2 linked regions of the Elephas maximus indicus genome follow. The main gene of each other region encodes a partner of the protein of the gene in region 2 in a complex. Links are inferred from orthologs where the notes say so. Each region holds a gene or a part of one and is shown on either strand. Other genes may lie near its edges.

Region 1 (10,952 bases), on a different chromosome or scaffold from region 2:
TGTTTTTCTAGATTTTAAACAATTAAAATGTTAAAAATACACTCTTATTTCACCAATTTACCAACACTGAAAAACAGTTTCACTTTCTAGTTTCATTTTCTGTAAATGGATATAACACATACTCAGTGTTAGGCTATTTTTGTGGTAAACTCCCTGGCATAACTAAAATTAACTTTAACAGTAATGTAAAAAGTTCATTACTATGTATATACTAATCATGTTGGTAATCATGATGGCAATCATGATTATCAATAGTGTCCCTTTAGATTATTAGCTGATTTGTGATTATAAGGTTATTTTCTATTAGTGTCAATTAAAGTTGTACTAACATAAGGAACCAAATAAAGCCTCAAATATTTCTAAGAAAAAGAATAATAGAAAACTCCATAAACTGAGATCAATGTCTCTTTTCTAGAATCAAATTGATCAGATGGAATTTTCCTTGGCAATTTACTGAAACGAATGTGTCATATACATTTTAAATGACTCTAAACAAGTTACTCTTCAATTTTACCTTAAGAATACTGAAGTTCTTAGTTTATACAAAATTGACACGCTAGATTCAGTTGCTTTATAAAGCTAGCTACACATTGCCACTGAATATACTTGCACATAAAAATAAGCAAAAATGACTGGTAGATGAATAACATTTAATAAAAATGGGGAAAAGGAAGTAGTGATTTTCATAATTTGTAGTTACCTATTTATTTACTCATAAAAGGTCTATTTTAAAAGAAATACCCAAAGAGAACATGCCACAACTTACAACTTTTCCTTATAACTCATTTATCTAACTACAAAAATCATTTGCCTTCCAGTCGATTCCAACTCACGGAGACCCACGTGTGCCAGAGTAGAGCCATACTCCGTAAGGTTTTCAATGGCTAATTTTTTTGAAATACAGCACCAGGCCTTTCTTCTGAGCTGCCCGTGGGTAGACTCAAACCTCCAAACTTTCAGTTAGCAGCTGAATGTGTTAACCATTTGCTGCACCCAGGAACTCCATTTATAGAACTCTGTTGTTAGTTGCTGTTGGGTGGATTCCGACTCATAAAAAAAACTAAAGCTACCCTTAAATAGGTTCCTCCATTTCTAAGGCAATTACATGTAATATAATTTAAGAGGGGCCTTGGTGGCACAATGGTTTAGCGCTTGGCTGCTAACCGAGAAGTCAACAGTTTGAACCCAACAGCCGCTCTGCAGGAGAAAAGGTGTGGCAGTCAGCTTCTGTAAAGATTACAACTTTGGAAACCCTTTGGGGCAATTCTACTTGGTCATACAGGGTAGCTATGAGTCTGAAATCAGCTTGACAGCAATAGGTTGCTTTTTTTTTTTTTTTTTTAATGTAACAAACAAATTTTCTTTCTGCCTTATCAGGAGAAACAACCACGTTCTTGAAGATGAAGTTATCTTTCACTCCTTGCAAGGCAATTTTAGTTCCCTTATATATTTTTTCTATATAGGTCCAAAATTCTATTTTTTAATGTTGTTTATAGTTTTCTGAATCTCTCCTTGGAGTTGAAGCACATAAAAAATGACATTATGAGACTATATCTTTACTCCTTCTGATGCAGACCAGTGTCACTTTTCTACTTCACCTTTTAAGAGGTATTACTCTTGTTAATCAACTATGACTTACTTTTTAAAGTCTAGTACCACATGTATCATAAAGTTTGTTCTTCATTTCAGACTTATTTATTTTTGCATCTAGACAAGTAAGCAGTTTGCAGATAAAAATCTTTCATTGTTTACAAATAAACAGAAACTCTAGCATTCATCCAGAACCAAACACATCTTATTACCTGCCTAGGCGTTAGAATTACCAGACTACTATGAGACAGCCCTTATCTACAAAGCACTCACAGCCTAACTTGTGAAATACATTTTTAAAAATTCATTTGACTGTAACTTCAAACATTTGAATTAAGCTTTTGAGAATAAACTTCTGGTAAATCTACCATTTTTTTCTCAGTAGCCCAATCTTTCAAAGATGGTGATATTCATACACCAAGGCAATGTTCCATTTACAAATGGCCCATTTCAGCTACATAAAAACAGATAGGATTTACCCAATCACCCAGAAAAGACTAACACTAAGGTTAAAAAAAGCTTAAAAGGTTACAACTAAATTTGTAGGTATCTTTACCAGTGCTGAGCTCACAAATACACTGTCGGATTTTTACTCAAGCTATTCTCCTTCAAACTCTCAATCAGACTTTTACACTACACTATTTTGAAGCAAGACAGGTTTCATCGGCTAATTTGGAAAACAAACTGGCTCGCATATAAACGAAACAGATTTCTCCAACTCCTCAGCACCACCTTGCTCATACAAGTTCATTTTCCTCCCTTTAAATGAGAAGAAAAATTAATGCGAAGATAAAAGTTTGTACCTTCTGCTGTTCCCTAAAATATCTGGGCTTCGGTTTTCTTTAAAATGAAAACATTCAAATGACTCAAACTTATGGACCCCCTGTATTTTACTCTTTAAAATGATTTACAATAACTTTGTCAAAAAGCAAAAATTATTTATTTGAAAAATACCAGAATTAAAAATTTATTTGAAAAATACCATGATTTAAAAAGTTTAATGCCCACAGTATAGATACAGCTCCTATCATCCTATAGGGCCAACAATACCAATGATTACTCAGTATACCAAAAGTATAACAAGACTAAAGAGAAACAATAATCCAAAATTTAATTTACATATTTCTATTTTAAGGAAATACACATTTACGTTTTTACACAGGGTAATGGGCTAGATAAATTAAGAATTCTTAGAAGTTCTTTAACAAATAGAGCAAGGATTGATTTCATCTTTAAAAACCCACAGGCCAAAGTAAATACAGGTTATCCTAGGATATGTAGCCAAATTTCTCCAAAGAAATAAACATGTTAGGAATGCTCCAATGTGAATAATAACAATTATTTATTCAAAGGTCATATTTTGTGCTGTAATGCAACGAGTATATGTTGACACCCACAGGTATTTTTATCATATAAACACAGTACGCAGCCTACAAAGTAGGAAAAAAGTACCAGGACTTAGATCAAAGTATTTAAATTCAAGTCCCAACCCTAATATCACAGCATTTTGTTAGGAGTAAAAGGTGGAGATAAAAAGGCAACTAAAATTTAACACTTTTCTTAAGTATCAAATCTATTTTAAGTATTTAATTGAATCAGGATAAAACCCTTATAAAAAAACTATTGTCCATTTCATAGATGAAGATACTGAAATGCAATAATTTAAATTACCTTTCCCCAAAGTTATACTGCAAGTTAATTACTGCAACTGTGACATAACTCAGGTCTAAATTCTATGCTCTTTCCATTAAGCTATATTACAGTATCTGAAAAAACACTTTGTAAATTACATACCATAGTTACAGAGACAGTGGGAAGTGGAAATAATTTTTTCTTATAATAAAAAGCTACACTAACTACATTATATTCCTTAGCTGTTCCAGTAAAGTGATACAGGAATATTTTTAAATACTACACACGAATCATACAATAGGCCTACTTGATTTCACCTTCCCTCCTAATAAACTGAGTACTTTCTCTTCATGTCACATATTCACATATTTAATTCTGGAAATCAACTGATAAGGCCGACAAGTATCAAAATTAAAATCTCCACATACTTCATTCAGTATTTTAAGTGTATATCCTCTGGTATTTTATAAGTTTCCAAACTAGCAAGTTACTTAAGCGGCAAACAGACTTACCTACTTTTTGCAGGCCTATGTTTTATGTTATCCCTGAAACAGGAGAGAAGGGCTGTACTTCAAGAAAAACGGTGCCGGCTTTTATCAAGCCTCCACTAAAGCACAAGACCACGTGGTATCTCTCAAAAGCCTAAGGTTCCCTACTTCTCTCCCTCTTTTTGACAAGGAACTGCAAACTACGGTTTCTTTCTCTTAACTGGCGCCCTGACACATGCCACCTGTATAGTACGGACCGCAAACATCCTGCAGCCTGCCTCCCGGAAGAATGCGAGAATCAGAATAAGAGGCAACTTGGATGCCGACAATGCCCGGAAAGGAAATGACTGGAGAAGTAAAGCGGATGGGATCGTAACAAACCGCGGGACCCAGACCTGTCAAACATACTGAAGAACTCAAAACCAACAACTGTAACCTATGGTTCGGAAAGGCCTGAGGTGGGAGCGGCACTATGGGAGGAAGGAGGACGAAGAGAACTGCATGAGCCGCCGCTCTGATCCCCACAAATCTCTCAGCACGCCCCAACAGGCCACGAACCCTAACCCTCACCTCCAGTCCAACCTCTGCCCCCAAATTTCGGCAGCGGCCAAAATCCTGCTGCTCAGGGCGGCAGCCGCCGGACCTACCCGCACCTGTCACTAGCGAAAGACACCAGTCCGCAGTTCCCGCCCAGTTACCCACCATCCCCGGGAAACCGCGGGCACCTCAACCTCCTTCTCTCACCAAGTGTCCCCTTTCCGGAGCGAGGTTTTGAGTAGCGTCGCGATGTCAGACCGCTGGGTGTCCAAATCCGCCGCTCCACCTTCCGCCATCTTCTTCCACTAGCGGTAGCGGAGGCGGCGGCAGCGACGGCGGCGGCGGCACGCCCCAGAGCATTGTGGGAATGGCGTCCTGCGGCCCCTCCCAGCCGCCAGGTCGAAACCAAAAGGGCCGGGGGTGGGAGCGATGCACCCGGGACAAGAGGAAGTCCCCGGGGCGGACTGGTTGCGTGACCGTGGTCTGCTCCCCCCCATCGGCCCCCGCCTCTCCAGCATCTCGTGCCGGCCGCGGCCTCCTCCGGGCCGGACCCCGGTTTTCCTCGGTGGGGAGCCGGGCGCTCACTCTCTTGAGCGATGCCACGGCCCGGTCTGTGCTTGACTTCTGCCTTCCCCTCCCTCTTTCCCACAGACGCCTGAAAACCCTTATTTGCGCATTCGCTCACTGTTGAGGGTGGGGTGGGGACGAGGGGCGTGGGGACGGTTAAGATATGGCAGAAAATTTTAGCGAGTGTGTGACTCTTGTCTTTTCATTGCGAGTCGCGGTACCCAGGCTCGGTGAGTGTTGGCCCAAAGTACAATCCGAAACCGAACGCTTGGACGCAGTGCTCATCGTGGACTTCCTAGAGCCCTCTTACTGCTGGTGTAGGTGGGGACCTTTTATAGGCTCTTTGTGACGGCTCCCCGGGCACACCCAGACAGCTAAAGTGCAGTGAAAAGCGTGTCCCAGTTCCTCGGTGAACAGGGCGTAAAATATGTATTGAGTAATAAAATATGTATTGAGTAATAAAAAAAATACCAGGTACTAAAAGGAAGGAAAGTCCTTTCCCATTATCTTCCCATGGTACGTACACCTGAAATGTAACTGGATGGTAATTGCAGTTGAGTATTAGTTGAAGCTACAATTATGCTAAAAATGAGGAAATTGAGTCTCAAAAAATCAAGGGTCTTACCTAAGGTCACACAGCTAGTAAGTGGAGAGACAAGTTTATAACCTAGGGTCCAAAGCCCATGTGCTTTTAAATGTAGCATACTCACTACCTCTTGTAATTGAAAGCCTGAACTAAAATGGGAACGCCACAAGAGTTGGAACTGAGTCCATCTTTTTTACCTCTGTATGCCTAGTGGCTAGCACAGTGTTTCCTAACATATAAAAGCCATCTAAATATTTATTTAATTAATTAATTTTGTCAAAACTGCTTAAGTATTTCAAAGAGTAAAGGTTCCAGAGACTTGGTGTTAAGACAACGCAAAATGATGTGAAAAGTCTAAAAGATGGGAAAACATCCCTATGCTCTCTTGTTTTCCCATTTTTAATGCCTACTCTAACCACTATGTGGAAACCCTGGTAGCCATAGTGGTTAAGACCTAGGGCTGCTAACCAAAAGGTTGGCAGTTCCAAGGCACTCCTTGGAAACTCTACGGGACAGTTCTACTCTGTCCTGTAGGGTCACTATGAGTTGGAATCAACTCCATGGTAATGGGTTTGGTTTTGGTTTTAACCACTGTAAGGTCACTATGAGTAGGAATCCACTGGAGGGTAATGGCTTTGTTTTTGGTTTTCTAACTCATCTGGTGGTGGTGGTGGTGTCGTTAGGTGCCGTCGAGTCAGTTCCGACTCATCGCGACCCTGTGCACGACAGAATGAAACACTGCCTGGTCCTGCGCCATCCCCACAATCATTATGCTTGAGCCCATTGTTGGAGCCACTGTATCCATCCACCTTGTTGAGGGTCTTCCTCTTTTCCACTGACCCTGTACTTTGCCAAGCATGATGTCCTTCTCCAGAGACTGATCCCGCCTGACAACATGTCCAAAGTACGTAAGATGCAGTCTTGCCATCCTTGCTTCTAAGGAGCATTCTGGTTGTACTTCTTCTAAGACAGATTTGTTCGTTCTTTTGGCAGTCCATGGTATATTCAATACTCTTCACCAACACCACAATTCAAAACCATCAATTCTTCTTCTGTCTTCCTTATTCATTATCCAGCTTTCACATGTGTATGATGTGATTGAAAATACCGTGGCTTGGGTCAGGTGCACCTTAGTCTTCAGGGTGACATCTTTACTCTTCAATACTTTAAAGAGGTCCTTTGTAGCAGATTTACCCAATGCAATGCATCTTTTGATGTCTTGACTGCTGCTTCCATGGCTGTTGATTGTGGATCCAAGTAAAATGAAATCCTTGCAATTTCAATCTTTTCTCCGTTTATCATGATGTTGCTCATTGGTCCAGTTGTGAGGAGTTTTGTTTTCTTTATGTTGAGGTACAATTCATACTGAAGGCTGTGGTCTTTGATCTTCATTAGCAAGTACTTCAAGTCTTCTTCACTTTCAGCAAGCAAGGTTGTGTCATCTGCATAACGCAGGTTGTTAATGAGTCTTCCTCCAATCCTGATGCCCCGTTCTTCTTCATATAGTCCAGCTTCTAGGATTATTTGCTCAGCATACAGGTTGAATAGGTATGGTGAAAGAATACAACCCTGATGCACACCTTTCCTGATTTTAAACCAATCAGTATCCCCTTGTTCTGTCTGAACAACTACCTCTTGATCTATGTAAAGATTCCTCATGAGCACAATTAAGTGTTCTGGAATTCCCATTCTTCCCAATGTTATCCATAATTTGTTATGATCCACACAGTCGAATGCCTTTGCATAGTCAATAAAACACAGGTAAACATCCTTCTGGTATTCTCTGCTTTCAGCCAGGATCCATATGACATCAGCAATGATATCCCTGGTTCCACATTCTCTTCTGAAACCCACCTGAATTTCTGGCAGTTCCCTATCTATATACTGCTGCAGCTGTTTTTGAGTGATCTTCAGCAAAATTTTGCTTCCATATGTTATTAATGATATTGTTCTATAATTTCCACATTCAGTTGGATCACCTTTCTTGGGAATAGGCATAAATATAGATCTTTTCCAGTCAGTTGGCCAGGAAGCTCTCTTCCACATTTCTTGGCATGGATGAGTGAGTACCTCCAGTGCTGCATCTGTTTGTTGAAACATCTCAATTGATACTCCATCAATTCCTGGAGCCTTGTTTTTCACCAATGCCTTCAGAGCAGCTTGTACTTCTTCCTTCAGTACCATTGATTCCTGATCATATGCTACCTCTTGAAATGGTTGAACATTGACTAATTCTTTTTGGTATAATGACTCTGTGTCTTCCTTCCATCTTCTTTTGATGCTTCCTGGGTTGTTTAATATTTTCCCCATAGAATCCTTCACTATTGCAACTCAAGTCCTGCATTTTTTCTTCAGTTCTTTCAGCTTGAGAAACACCAAGCGTGTCCTTCCCTTTTGGTTTTCCATCTCCAGCTCTTTGCACATGTCATTATAATATTTTACTTTGTCTTCTCGAGCTGCCCTTTGATATCTTCTGTTCAGTTCTTTTACTTCATCAAGTCTTCCTTTTGCTTTAGCTGTTCGACATTTCAAAGCAAGTTTCAGAGTCTCCTCCGACATCCCTCTTGGTCTTTTCTTTCTTTCCTGTCTTTTCAATGACCTCTTGCTTTCTTCATGTATGATGTCATTCCACAACTCATCTGGTCTTCGGTCACCAGTGTTCAACGCGTCAAATCTATTCTTCAGATGGTCTCTAAATTCAGGTGGGATATACCCAAGGTCATACTTTGGCTCTCGTGGACTTGCTCCGATTTTCTTCAGTTTCAGCTTGAACTTGCATATGAGCAATTGATGGTCTGTTCCACAGTGGCCCCTTGCCTTGTTCTGACTGATGATATTGAGCTTTTCCATTGTCTCTTTCCACAGATGTAGTCAATTTGATTTCTGTATGCTCCATCTGGCGAGGTCCATGTGTATAGTCGCCACCCCCCCCCCCCCACGTGTCTGTCAGCTTGTCGTACTGTGGGGGCTTGTGTGTTGCTGTGATGCTGGAAACTATGCCACCGGTATTTGGATACCAGCAGGGTCACCCATGGAGGACAGGTTTCAGCTGAGCTTACAGACTAAGACAGACTAGGAAGGAGGACCTGGCAGTCTTTCTGAAAAGTATTAGCCAGTGAAAACTCATCTGGTTGGAATGCAGTAAAGATGGATGTTGCTATGCCAGCAACCAGTGCTGAACAATTCCAAGTGAAAGGAGTGTATACTGACATGGTTTGTTTATATCAGCATTGATTGCTTACTTTCTGTGTAATAATCCTGTTTCACAATTACATCATCCTTGATTTGAGAGTCTGATAACAGCTTCCCATCAATGCTATTTCGTATATTATTTGGCTTCTGACAGACTGAAAAAATAGAGTTTCTCTAACCATGGGTACCTTCAAAGGGCCACAATTTTCCCCTTTTCTACCCAACCTCTGAATGAGAACAAAGAATTTTTCAAGAGAAGCAACATGGTTTGGAAAGACTTCTTTGGAATCACAGGAATCTGAGTTCAAACCTCATTTCAGCCTCTGGCTGCAAAGCACTTAACTCTTAGTTGAATCATAGACTTTGGGATAATAATACCCATCTTGGAGTCCCTGGGTGGTGAAAATGGTTAATGCACTCCGCTACCAACTAAAAAGTTGGAGGTTCAAGTCGACCCAGAGGCAAAAAATCAACCATTAAAACCCTATAGAGTGCAGTTCTACTCTGATGCACATGGCGTCCCTATGGGTCACAACTGGATCAAAGACATTAGTTTGTTTTGGTTTGTTTATTGAGTGTCAAGCATCATCCTAAATACAAGTATTAATCCTCAGAGCAACTCTAAGGAGTATTATTATCTGCGTTGTATATATGAGGAATTAAAGCAAGTGGCAGAATGCAAATTTGAACCCAAGCAGTTGCACTCAAGAATCTAGAAAGATTGGGTAAGTTTGTATTTTTCTACTGATCTTTACTATCTCGTTTATAGCAGTCAACTTTTTAGTGACCCCAGTTTACTAATTTATAAAAATTCTACTTTGTTTATAGTTCTTCTACTCTCAAAGATAATTATGAAGAAAAATAAGATAATGTTTGTAAATACTAAATTAGTTAAGGTCCATATCTTTCTGAATAGCTAAGTAGACTGTTTATGAGAAAAGCTACTTTACCTTGATTCACATAGGCTACTACGTATAAACCAGGGTTACATCTGATTTTTTAGATTACATGTCTTTATTGATGCTTTCCTTAATTAACTTCATAAGAATGTCCGTCTTTCTTGGTGATTATATTGCCTTCTTAGACCCTTTGCACCTTCCTTGTCTGTTTAAAACTTAGTTGAAGGCTTTGAGGAAAAAAAAAAAAAAGGAGTACCTTAGAAATTAGACTTGATACGAATAAGGTGGACTTTACATAAAGGCAGAGTAGGTTTTAAAATCAGAGATTCTCTAGGGAAGATTCCTTACCTTCCCAAATAAGTCTCTGTTCACAGATACTTAAACAGACCATTTAAGAGAGGATCTTGTATTCAGTAATTGGAGATGGGATTTCAACGGTAAATAGTCCAGGAAAGAGTAAGGCTTTGACTTAGTTAACATAAATGGGAGCCCCTTTTTGGCCTGGGGTGGACCACAGAAAGAAGAAAAAATTCTGTGTTTTTAGGGCTGAATGGAAGAAAGCACCAAGGAAAATTCCAAGACAAACTTTGCCTACTTCATGATTTTGTATGGAGCTGGCTACAAGAGCCTAAAGAAAAATCTGCTTATAGTCTGAGTGGACTTAGCAAATCACATGCATATACAGAATCAACACATCCCCTGAAAAAACAACGATAGATGATGACCTGGCTGCCTTTATTACTCAACTCCTCCTACATTTGGGCTTCGGGAACCAATGTCCCACTTTTTCCTTCTTCCCTCATCCTTCCTCTACAATTATTTCCTCTGGTATCCTCCCCCCCGCCCCCCCCCCACCGCCCCACCGCCCCATTCTTATTCACCTCCCTAAACCCTTCATTCTTTACTTTTTTAAATTTTATAATTCCTTTTTCCCTTCACCAGCTGTCTGAACAGCTAAATGGCAGCGGAAAGGTCGGTGAGAAGTACAAACACTGAGACAGCATGTAGTAAAGTGCTTAACCTGTTAATGATATTTTGAAACGTGGGATATGAATAAAAACTTTAAGTGCCACAATGCAGTTAAAAAAAAAATACAGAGGCTCCTTATTTAGACAAATGTTGGGTTCTGATAAAGAGAGATAAAAAGTAGTGAAATGAATACAGTGCCCTTTACAAAGGGCTGGTACACTTGGATTCTGACTGGCTCAGTGCCACTAACTAGCTGGGTAACCTTGGCCAGGTTATTTAATCTCTGAGAGCATGAGTTTTCTCATAGTCAAATAGAGTGGTTAAATTCTTCAGGGGCTGAAACCGAAGTGCTTTCAGGGGTTAGATATAGCTAACATAAATGGGTGAAGCAAATCCGTTCTACAATAGTAAGGAGTTGTGGGAACGTTGTTGAACTGTATAGCTCCTGCCCAAACTAAAGGTATTTAAATGTGAAAAATTAGAGGAAACCAA
Region 2 (10,950 bases):
GAAGGCCAAAGATTTCTTTTCAGTTCAAATGAAGTAGTAAAGACCTTTTTTTCTATTTAAGTAAAACAAAACAAACCCAAACAAACAAAAATGATTGCGATGGACTGAATCCCCCATCCCTGCAATACGTGTTGTAAATCCTAACCTCTGTGCCTGTGGTTATAATCCCATTTGGGACGGGCTGTCTTTGGTATGTTAATGAGGGATGATGAGCGTAGGGTGTGTCTCTAGTCAATCTATCTTGAGATACAAAAGATTAAACAAAGTAAAAGAAGCAGAGATGGGGGAAGAGACATGCCAAGCCTCACCCAGGAGCAAGACCTCAGAAGAGACAAGGACCTCCCCCAGAGCCAACAGAGACAGAAAGTCTGCCCCTAGAGCTGGCACTCCGACTTCAGACTTCTAGCCTCCTAAACCACGAGAAAATAAACTTCTGTTTGTTAAAGCAACCCACTTGTGGTGTTTCTGTTATAGTAGCACTAGATAAAGAAGACAACGATCAAGAACCGAAAATAAAAAAAAAACACTTAACAAAACGATCCATAAACTCAATACGGTGGTGAATTTAACCAAATTCTGGGTAGAAGAAACTAAGAAAAAAAAAAAAAATTAGAATTTTTTGTTTCACTTGACCCTTCGATGACAGCCAAGTGTCTGGAGACTGTGAGTTAATTCTGCGAAACCTGCGAGCGACCTTACCGTTTTCCCTTTCACCCACTCAGTGGCTAATGAGCTGGAGGCGATCGCAGAACCACAGCCAAATGTTTTAAACCTGGCGTCCACAATCTTCCCCTTTTCATCCACTTGGATCTACAAGAGAGACAAGAGCTAGGCAGCGAATCCCGGTGCTGTCCTTCCAAACCTACGAAGCTGGGACTCACATGGGGCTTACCGGGGCTCTCCGCAAGAGCTTTGGTCTTGCTTTCTACACTTTAATTTTTGGCATTTAATTGCTGAGCTTGCTTTATTTCAAAGAGCTCAGTGATGAGAAGTTAAATGTAGAAAATTATACCACAGCTCTACAGGTCTAGCTGGTAAAGATCTGCTGAAAAATACATGCCTCCCGCCCTTTTTTTTTCCCCCAATCCTAGGCTGCTTTTTTTCTTTTTTTTAAAAGCTCTGGTGGCACACTGCTTAAGAGCTCGGCTGCTAACCAAAAGGTCACAGCAGTTCAAATCCACCAGCTGCTCCTTAGAAACTCTACGGGGCAGTTCTACTCTGTCCTATAGGGTGGCTATGAGTTGGAATTGACTTGACGCCAATGGGTATGCTATGGTATGGTACAGGTAGTCTGCTTTTTGGCTATGCAGTTCTATTTGAGGAAGTCTGTTTATGGCGTCAGGGCCAATCTGCCTCCTTAAACGCAGGAGGGCATGCAATAGAGCTCTCTGGTTAATGCTTTTTCCTTTGGCACAAACTGCATTTAGTGGGTCCTTCCTGCCTTGTTTCTGTTTCCCAAGATAAGCATGGAAACCTCTGGGAGGCTGCCCACACCCCATGATGAAGAACATTGTGGATAAGGCTATAGTTTACCCAGTGCGCCAGCCACTACCTTCATTTTGCCTCCAGTTTGGGGAGAGATTTGATTTATTGTGTTTCTTGTCTTACTGAAGTTTGCTAGCTAAACAGTTGTGGTTTTCCTTCGATCAGTAAAATTTACAACACTTTTTACTTAGCAGAAGATGAAATTCGAGCTGATACAGGGAGCAGAGCTGTGAGATCACTATTTCAGAAAGGCTGGGCAGAGTGTAACAGCAGGAGAACTAGGATTTAGTCCCTGCTAATAATTTTTTTTTTTTAATAATTAGTAGAAAAAAAAATTTTTTTTTCTACTAATTATTTAACATGGACTCATCCCGCCTCATAGGAATAAAGATGGCGACCACACAAAACGCTGTACGTGCAAATGCTTTGTAAACTCCGCAGCACCATATAAGCAAAGTTGCTGTTGTTGTCAGTTGCTGTGCAGTGGGGTCAAACTCATGGCCACCTTATGTATAAGAGAATGAAGTATTGCCCGGTCCTGTGCTACCTTCAGAAACCCTGGGGGCGTAGTGGTTAAGTGCTATGGCTGCTAACCAAAGGGTCGGCAGTTTGAATCCACCAGGCGCTCCTCGGAAACTCTATGGGGCGGTTCTACTCTGTCCTGTAGGGTCGCCATGAGTCGGAATCGACTGGACGGCACTGGGTTTGGTTTGGTGCTATCTTCAAAGGGGTTACTGCTACCACCGTGAGAGACGAAGAAAACCCGTCCTACCTGTAATTTCATTACATCACCACAAGCTGGAGCCCCTACCAGTCCAGTTCCGACATTTTTAGACGTCTTGTCGAGGGACCCCACATTTCTAGGATTTTCATAATGATCAACAACCTGAAATGAGAAGGGTAAGAGAAATCAAGACCACTCTCTTTTTGGTACCGGTCCCCTCAACTTGACTGTCAGCTCCTCCAAGTCAGTGACCGAATCTTACCAGCCCATGTTCTCTGAGCCTGGCATAGGGCCTGCAACCGGAAGCTGGCAGGCAATCAGCAAACACCAAGAGTCACCTGGGGAGAAAGGCCTACATTCGTGTCAGTGAGAACCATTTGTTATCCAAAACCTTTTTGTATCTCCTCTCCAACTACCTTCAGACACTGTTTGAGATCCTGGAGAAAAATCAGCTAAATTATGTCTTAGTCCCAGGAGGTTTTTAGTCACAAACCAAGTCACGAGACTTGGGCTCACACAGCATTTCTATTATTTCCAAATAAAGTCAATTTTCAAAAGATAATGATCTAAAAAAAAAAAAGGTTACTATAAACAAATTCTTAAAATAATTACGAAAGCATTCCCAGAAGGTTCAAGATGACTCTTGTCGAAAGAAGAATGCTATGGAATGTGGCCATCTATGTACGATTTTTTAAAAAATAAAGTCTCATTACTGTATTTCATGGCCCTGAAATAACACTGGTTCAGCAGCGCGCCCTAGTGGCTGAAAGGCTGCTAGCCCAAGTTCAGTCACCATGGGCTGTCAACAAAACCTCTCCCTGGGTCTAGGAGAGTGCCCTAGCCCTTGACAAACGTGGTGAAGCCAGAACAGTATAAATACCCATTCAGTCCGACACAGTAGGCTTTAGTAATCTTGAGGCTTGTTTCCCAGCTAGCACAGCAGTAACTATCCTGATCTTCCAGTCTCCTCCCCTTTGCCTATACAACCACTGATTTTGACTCTAAGCCCAAGGACCCACAAGATAAAATCCACTCTGGACTTCTGCCCCATGTTGATTTCCAGCGATCTTTAGTTGTTTCCCGAGCAGAAGAGTCTCATCTTTAGGGGACGTTAAGCTTCCAGAAGGCAAGGGCTGCAATCTACGCACGCACACCACCCCCCAACAGAAAAAAACAAAGACAAGGACATTGTGACTGATTGTTGGTCATGTGCCTGACTCCACTACGAGGCTATGGGCTCCACAAGCAGATAGATCTTGGTCATCGCTGTGAGGTCCGCCATAGCGCTTGAGATCATTTTATTAAAATACTAATAGCAGCAGCATCATCGATGGTCTCCGTGTGTTGGGCCTATGTGCCAGGTACCATGCAGAGAACTCTACACGCATTCTCTCTTGTAGGAAGGGACTGCTAAGATTCCCAACTTACAAATGAAAAGAATGAGGTCCAGCGAGGGGCAGTGACTTGCCCAAGGTCACTTAGCCAGGGCAGTGGCCTGGCTGAAGAGGAGCTCGTGCCCTAGCGTCAGGCTGACAAGTCATAACAGGTCCAAGAACTCAGAAGAGTCCTGTTAGGGAAGTTTAAGGGCTGTGACGCACAAAATAGCAACGAGCAGTAAGGCCCTTTGGAAGTCGCCACTCGACAAGCAGCGGCTATTACTTTTATTTCCATTGCGAAACGAGAGAAAGTTAGTTGAGGCAAAGGTGTGGGAGGAGACAGTCCCTCCACCCAGGGCCGGGGGATCCCCGGACCTCGGGCTGCAGGAAGCTCCAGGCCGCGCAGTCCCCCGGTCGCCGGCCCCAACCCGATCCTCCCCCACGCCTCCGGACACCTTCGTCTCCTCGGCGATCCTCGCCCGTTCGTCCCCCGCGCACCCTATGCTTGCCCCTACCTTCTTGTGATAAAGCCGGGCCGGGGCCGACAGCTCCCGGGGTGGCAGGCGAGGACTCCGGAGCAGCAGGGCCGACGCCGCCCGGCGCAGCCGACCCGCTCCAGCCGCCGCCATCTTGCGGGGTCGCGCCTGCGCCAGCCAAGAGCGAGGCCGGGGGCGTGGCTCGCCCTGCAGCGAGCGACGGGCTTCGCTTAGGGCGCGCCCCCTCTTACGTCACCGCGCCTTCGCGCCTGCGCCCTTCGGCCCCGTGCGGTTCGTGCTTTGTCCCCACCTTGACCACACCTCTCCGGGGGCTGGCGGGGCTGGGAGCGGGAAGGTCCAAGTACCACGAAAGCGAGTCCTAGGTGCTGCGTTCTGGATGGGAAAGGACCTAAAGCTGGGGTGAGGGACCCGACTTAATGCAGCACACAAGGTCACCCAGTCCGCTCTCTCATCCTTTTTTGCAGCTAAGGACGCTGAGGTTCGAGCGGTTTAATAACTTGTCTGAGGTCGCTTAGAGTTAGGTACAATTGGGATTCGAACAACCCTGGGTTAGAGTCCTGATTTTGCCCCTTCCTGGTTGTCACCCTGGAAACCCTGGTGGCGTAGTGGTTAAGTGCTACGGATGCTAATCAAAGGGCCGGCAGTTCGAATCCACCAGGCGCTCTTCGGTTCTGCTCTGTCTTATAGGGTCCCTATGAGTCAGAATCGACTCGACGGCACTGGGTCTGGTTTTTTTGGTTTTTGGTTGTCACCCTAGACGAATGACATCAGCTCTCTAAGCGTCTCTTTTTTTTTTTTTTTTTTGCATTAATTCAAATAAAATTGTTTCGCCCATTCAGCAAATATGTATTGAGCACCTCCTACTTGTCAAGGCGTTATACTAGTCTCTGGCGAGCCAACGAAAAGCAAAACAAATGTAATTTCTGTCCCAACTAAGCTTACTAACGAGGGAGAAAGGCAATAAAGAAACAATAGTTTCCTAGCTCAAAAATGGGAGTTTAAGGAGGAAATGAACACCATGCCCTGAATTAAAAAAGTATATACCTATTTAAAAATATTCTTTATCTATTTCTCTCTATACAACAGTAAACTATCAAAATTTATATGGTAATACTTGACAGTTAAGAGTTTCTAAATAAATGCTTAGGAAATAATTCATATTGATTTGCAGAATATCTTATAAAACCGGAAAACTCATGTGTGCGTTTAACACCTACTAGGCACCGGTCCTATCAGGTGCCAGCCGGAAACCCTGGTGGTGTAGTGGCTAAGTGCTATCTATGGCTGCTAACCATAAGGTCTGCAGTTCGAATCCACCAGGTGTTCTTCGGGAACTTTATGGGGCAGTTCTATTCTGTCCTCTAGGGTCGCTGTGAGTCAGAATCCACTCGGTAAAGGGCTTGGTTTTGGATTAGGCACCAGTCCTTACATAATGAGAGGAATCTCTTTGGGAAATGAATTTTTCTCATAAATAGCGCAATCGATCCTTCTCCAAGGACTTGGAGTTTTCACTACGTTTGTGTCTCGGTTGCTGAGGTGACTGAACCACGCGCCAGGTCACAAGAGGCATTAATGCATATATTCGAGGAGTCCCTTTGACCTTCTCAAAATGGCGTCAAAACCTTAACTACAGTCATCACGCTCATTTCATGACTTCCTCTATGCCCTCCACTTCCTGCCCAAAGACCCAACTTCTGTCCGAAGTTGTGGCGGAATATATGCCATGTTAAAGAATTGTTTTTCTGACAGGATCTTTTACAAATATGTAAAGTTAATATGAATGGCGTGTATTTAGAGATTTTCCCATCATCCGAAGCTCGCAGTTTCCCATTCGGTGGCCAGAGGGCGGGGTTTTGATCAGGCGTGCGCCGCGGGCAGCTTGTACTTCAGCCAGTCTTCGGCGGCGGAACGAAGGACCCAAGTCACTGGAGACTCAAGATGGCGACGGCAGCTGCATCCTCCGCTTCAGAGCCGGAGGCTGAGCCCAAGACTGCGCCCAAAGTTGGGCCCAAGGCCGAGGGAGACGAGGATGAGCTTAAGGAAACCAGGACGAGGAGGAAGGTGTTATCGCGGGCTGTGGCTGCTGCGTCGTACAAGACGGTGGGGCCAGCGTGGGATCCGCAGGAGGAAGGCGTGAGTGAGAGCGATGGAGATGAAGAGTACGCCATGGCTTCTTCAGCGGAGAGCTCCCCGGGGGAGTACGAGTGGGAGTACGACGAAGAGGAGGAGAAAAACCAGCTGGAGATCGAGCGGCTGGAGGAGCAGGTGGGCGCCGGGGTGGGCAGCGGGCTCCCTCCGCCTCCAGGCCCTAGCCCGCTCCTCTGCCCCTTGGAGCAGAGATGCTGCCCTGATCCTCAGCGGCAGTAAAGCCTCCAAGGCCGCAGAACCGTTACTTAACATTGCAATTTCCATTATTTGAGCGCTCGCTGCGTGCCCAGCGCTTTGCAAGCATTATTCCATTGAATACTCGCAGCGAACCAGTGAAGGCAGTAGCGTTGTCCCCGTTTCGTGGGAGGACACTGAGGCTCGTGGAGGGGAGTCTCTGGCTCAAGATTACACGTTCTGCAAGTAGCGAGTCAGGCTTTGAGCTTCGAACCGACTCCAGGACTCCCACTAACCACACAGTTAAACTACATCTAGCAGTAAAGTAAATTTTAATTGTAAGAGCACTATTTGTCTGTAGGAATGACGACGATGATGAAATATGTTGTAGTCGAATAAATATTGATCCGACGATGAAAATAGGAATGGAAAGATAGAGGCTACTCAGTTGGAGGCTCAAACCCCCGTTGTAGCTGTTCCACACCTGTATGTGCTTGGGCGAATTTCCTAAATTCTCTGATCCTTTGCTTTCTCATTTGTAAATTAAGAGCAGTGTTCTTGCATCATAAAATGGTCATAACAGTAATGTTAGCCCTGTGCCTAGCACCCACGAGGAACATGACCTCTAATGTGTAAAACAACCTTGTGAGATGTAGGTGGTGGTATCTTTTGGATAAGCCAGGATCCCAGCAGGAAATAGATGGTGCATTCAAATTAGGATAATTTAAGAAAAGGTTCATAAAGGGACTACTGTGTTTGTAAAGGCAAGTAAGAAGCAAAGGTTTAGTATTCCACAGTTGGTAACAACAGGACTTGGTGTCCACCTTTAGGCCTGAAGTAGTGTGAATAGTTGTGTGGGGTTGGCATCTGAGAGGAGCTGAGACCTTTGGTCAAAGGGTGCAGCCAGCGGTTTCCCAGTAGGGGAAGGAAGCAAGTGGAAGAAGAAAAACTCTTTTTATCTCCCTCACTTCCTCCAGATCTCTGCTAGTCTCCCACTGAGCAAACCCAACTGAAGGCCAGAGAGCCCAGTTGATGTGGATCACACAGGAAGGCACAGGGCAGGGAGGGGAGAGGAGGGTGGTGTGGAGTTGGAGGGGCAAACTGAAGAGATTGAGCACATTCTCATTTTACAGATGAGGAAAGGAAAGAGGCTCAGAACAAAAGATGAAATGATTTGCCTAGAGTCACTCACAGTGGGATTTGAACTCTTAAAGGTTGCCTGTGGACCAGATGCCACGTTGCATGTCCTGCTGGCACTGTTTTTAAGTTATGAGATAACGTCATGCGTTGGTATAACTTGTTGCATTTGTCATAGAATCTGATTTTTGAAGGAACCAGTTGGGATAGACAGGTGGTTACCATTTTTCTTTTATAAGTAAGTATGCTGAAGTTCATTCAGTCTTTTATTCATTCAGCAAGTACGGTGTGATACCTGCCAGACTGACTGTGTCCCTGTCTGTATGGAAATCAGTTCTTCATATTTCTAGCCTTAGGTCTTTTGATGAGCCATTAGCTCACTTTGACCTTAATGTTTTATGAGGTAGGGAAACTAGAATCATCTGTTTTAGTAGGAAGAGGAGGCTTGGAACCAGAGAGATGAAGTCCTTAATGAAAGTACATAGTTTACTTACTAAGGAGAAGGAGGCGACAGGATGGAGGTCGGCATGAAGGTCTCCTGGCTACTATACAATTGCCTGTCCTGCCTCGGGTCACCGAGGATGGGTGGGATAGAGCTCAGAAGGTGACCACATAGGATGGGACCTGGCAAGCGATGGTGAGCTGAAGGACTTCTGGCCTTATCCTCTTTGTCCTGAGGTCTAGAAATTGACTTTTCCAATTTTTCCAGACCTCCTTCCTAACCTCCTCCTAACCCCGCAGTCTGTAGTTCCTGCTGTAACTGTCCTTATGATGGAGCGTAACGATAAGTAACTTTCCAACAGGCCTGTGGAAACCTGGCCCTGCCATTTTTGGAAGCTCGGAACACATCCACATGTGTTTATTTCCTTCTTTTTGCTTGTTTAGGATTGTTTTGTTCTTTTCTAGTTTCTCGATGCAGGAACCTAGATTATTGATTGAGACCTCCCCTCTTTCCTAGAATGAGCATTTAAGTCTATAAATTTCCGTCTCAGCGCTGCTTTAGTTGCATCCCACTTGTCTTGCTGTGTTCTGTTTTCATGTCCATTCAGTTCTAAATATTTTTTAAAAAACATTTCTTTGAGACTTCGTGTTTGATCCATATTGTTTAGAAGTGTATTCTTAATTCCAAATGTTTAGAGGTTTTTCTGTTGGCTTTGCAATTGATACCTAGTTTGATTCTCTTGTGGTCAGAAAGCATACTCTGTATGATTTCAGTTTTTTTAGATTTGTTGAGGTTTCTGTTTCGGCCCAAGAGAGGGTAAATGTTCCGTGGAGACTTGAGAAGGTATGTTGTGCTACCGTTGGCTGAGGTGTTGTGTGTGTGTCAGTTAGGTCCTGTCGGTCGATGATATTGTTGAGCTCTCCTGTGTCCTCGATGGTTTCCTTTATAGTAGTTGTGTCAGTTGCCAGGAGTCCCTGGGTGGTGTAAACAGTCAATGTGCTTGGCCGCTAACTAAAACGTGGGAGGTTGGAGTCCACCCAGAGGGGCCTTGGGGGAAAGCCCTGGCGAGCTACTTCCAAAAAATCAGTCATTGAAAATCCCGTGGAGCAGAGTTCTACCCTGACACACGTGGGGTTGCCATGGATTGCAGTCAGCTCGGTGGCAGTTGGTGCTGGAATCGCTTGCTGAGAGGAGGGTGTCGAAGTCTTCAGATATGATTGTGAGTGTGTTTATTTCTCCTCTCAGCTCTGTCGGTTTTTGCTTCATGTATTTTGAAGCTCTGTGGCTCTGTTGTGTACGGTCGCCATTGGTTTTTTTTTGGTTGGCGCATACATGTTTAGGATCGATGGGTCTTTTTGGTGAGTTGATCCTTTTATTATTATGTAAGGTTTCTTTTTGTCTCTAGTAATTTTCTTTGCTCTGAAGTCCACTCTATGTAATATTAATATAGCCGTTTCTGCTTTTTTTGGATTAGTATTTGCTTGGTGTATCTTTTTCTATGCTTTTTTTCAACCTACCTATATCGTTGGATTCGAAGTGAGTTTCTTCTGATTAGCGTGTAGTTGGGTCATGTTTTTTATCCACTTTACCGTTCTCTGCCTTTTAATTAGTGTGTTTAGACCATCTACATTTCAGGTAATATCCAAATGTCAGGCCTTAAACCATTTTATTTGTTTTCTATTTATTTCCCCTGTTTCTCATTCTTTTTTTCTTTTCTTGCCTTCCTGTGCATTATGTCAACATTTTTTAGGCTTCCATCTTGATTCATTTATAGTACCTCTGAAGTTTTTACTTTGTATAGTTTTTTGGGTGTTACAGTATATATATTTCACTTACCACAATCTGCTGGCGTCAACCACTTCGAGTGAGGTACAGAAACCCAACTTGGCTTTGGATCCCTTTACCTTCCCCATTTTTAAATATCATTGTCTGCGTATCAGATGATCTTATAATTTTTGCTTTAGTTATTCCTTATGGTCATCTTTTGTGCTTACTCATATTTCATCTCTTTCCATTGATCCTCCTCCTTTCCTAGTGCTTGACGGTTTCTTATTTTATCATTTCTTTTAGCTGTTCTTTAAGAAGTCTGCTAGTTTTCTGTTTCAGGTATGTAATTGCTTTTTGTGTGTGGAGTAAATAAATATACATGTAACAAAACATTTGACTTTGCAACAGTCTTCACGTGTGCAGTTCAGTGCCGTTATGTTCCTTATTTTGTTCAACCATCGCCCTTAATGTGTCCCCAGGTTACACCATCGCCCTTAACAGAGCTCGGTGTTCCCTAAGCATTTCGTCCCTTTTTCCGCCTTCCTTCCTCCCACCCTTGGTAGCTACTGATAAACTTTGGTTTCTAGACACTTGGTTATTCTTGATATTTCATATAAGTGGCATCATAACTGTATGCGCCCTTTTGTGACTGACTTATTTCACTCAGCATGATGCTTTCAGGGTTCATCCTTGGTACAGTTAGCTTTTTAAAAAATTATTTTAACTGATTATAATATTTATTTTGAAAAGTTTGAAACATAAAAACAAGCTTTTGTAGACTTATCACTCAGCTTCAACAGATACCAACCTTGTGCCTTTCTTGTTTCTGCAGTAGTTTTCATCTCATTTGTTTGTTTAATAAAATGAGAGAGTTCTTGCTATGCCCCCGGCATTGTGCTAATAAGCAGCTTACAAAATTACCCTTTTTAATCCTCACAGAAAACTCATGCACTGGGAACTAGTAATATTCCCATTTTGTAGATGAGAAAATGGAGGCTTAGAAAAGTTAATAATTTGGCAAAGGTCACACACTTTTTGTTTGTTTCATTAGAATGCCTTCTTTATTTTAGAGAGAAGCCAAGCGTGCCATCATCGGAATCATAACAGATTTGAGGGAGCCTTGTGACTCGACGGCACTGGGGTTTTTTTTTTTATGCTTATTATAAAAAGCTGCTTTTATCATCCTTTTGGAGCCCTGGT

What was found.
Region 1: the proteins of SART3 (region 2) and USP15 are in contact, whole or in part, in a crystal structure (PDB 5JJW), measured with the Homo sapiens proteins. The link is inferred for Elephas maximus indicus from reciprocal best matches to the Homo sapiens genes SART3 and USP15. Residues at the interface, in NP_055521.1 of Homo sapiens: Ser438, Ser439, Lys440, Glu443, Gln490, Arg493, Glu494, Trp496, Asp497, Met500, Thr501, Ala505, Trp511, Tyr514, Arg533, Cys537; in NP_001239007.1 of Homo sapiens: Ser23, Leu24, Asp48, Trp50, Gly121, Met122, Phe123, Val124, Lys125, His126, Lys128.

Annotation. Positions count from the first base shown.
Region 1 is NC_064822.1:122,510,297-122,521,248, reverse strand, and holds the start of USP15 (ubiquitin carboxyl-terminal hydrolase 15), read right to left. Parts: upstream 4,601-10,952; 5' UTR 4,544-4,600; coding exon 4,455-4,543; intron 1-4,454. UniProt on the Homo sapiens protein: Hydrolase that removes conjugated ubiquitin from target proteins and regulates various pathways such as the TGF-beta receptor signaling, NF-kappa-B and RNF41/NRDP1-PRKN pathways.
Region 2 is NC_064840.1:19,107,976-19,118,925, reverse strand, and holds the start of SART3 (squamous cell carcinoma antigen recognized by T-cells 3), read left to right. Parts: upstream 1-6,009; 5' UTR 6,010-6,020; coding exon 6,021-6,347; intron 6,348-10,950. Other genes in the region: iron-sulfur cluster assembly enzyme ISCU, read right to left, coding at 700-810, 2,258-2,371, 4,101-4,214. UniProt on the Homo sapiens protein: U6 snRNP-binding protein that functions as a recycling factor of the splicing machinery. Promotes the initial reassembly of U4 and U6 snRNPs following their ejection from the spliceosome during its maturation.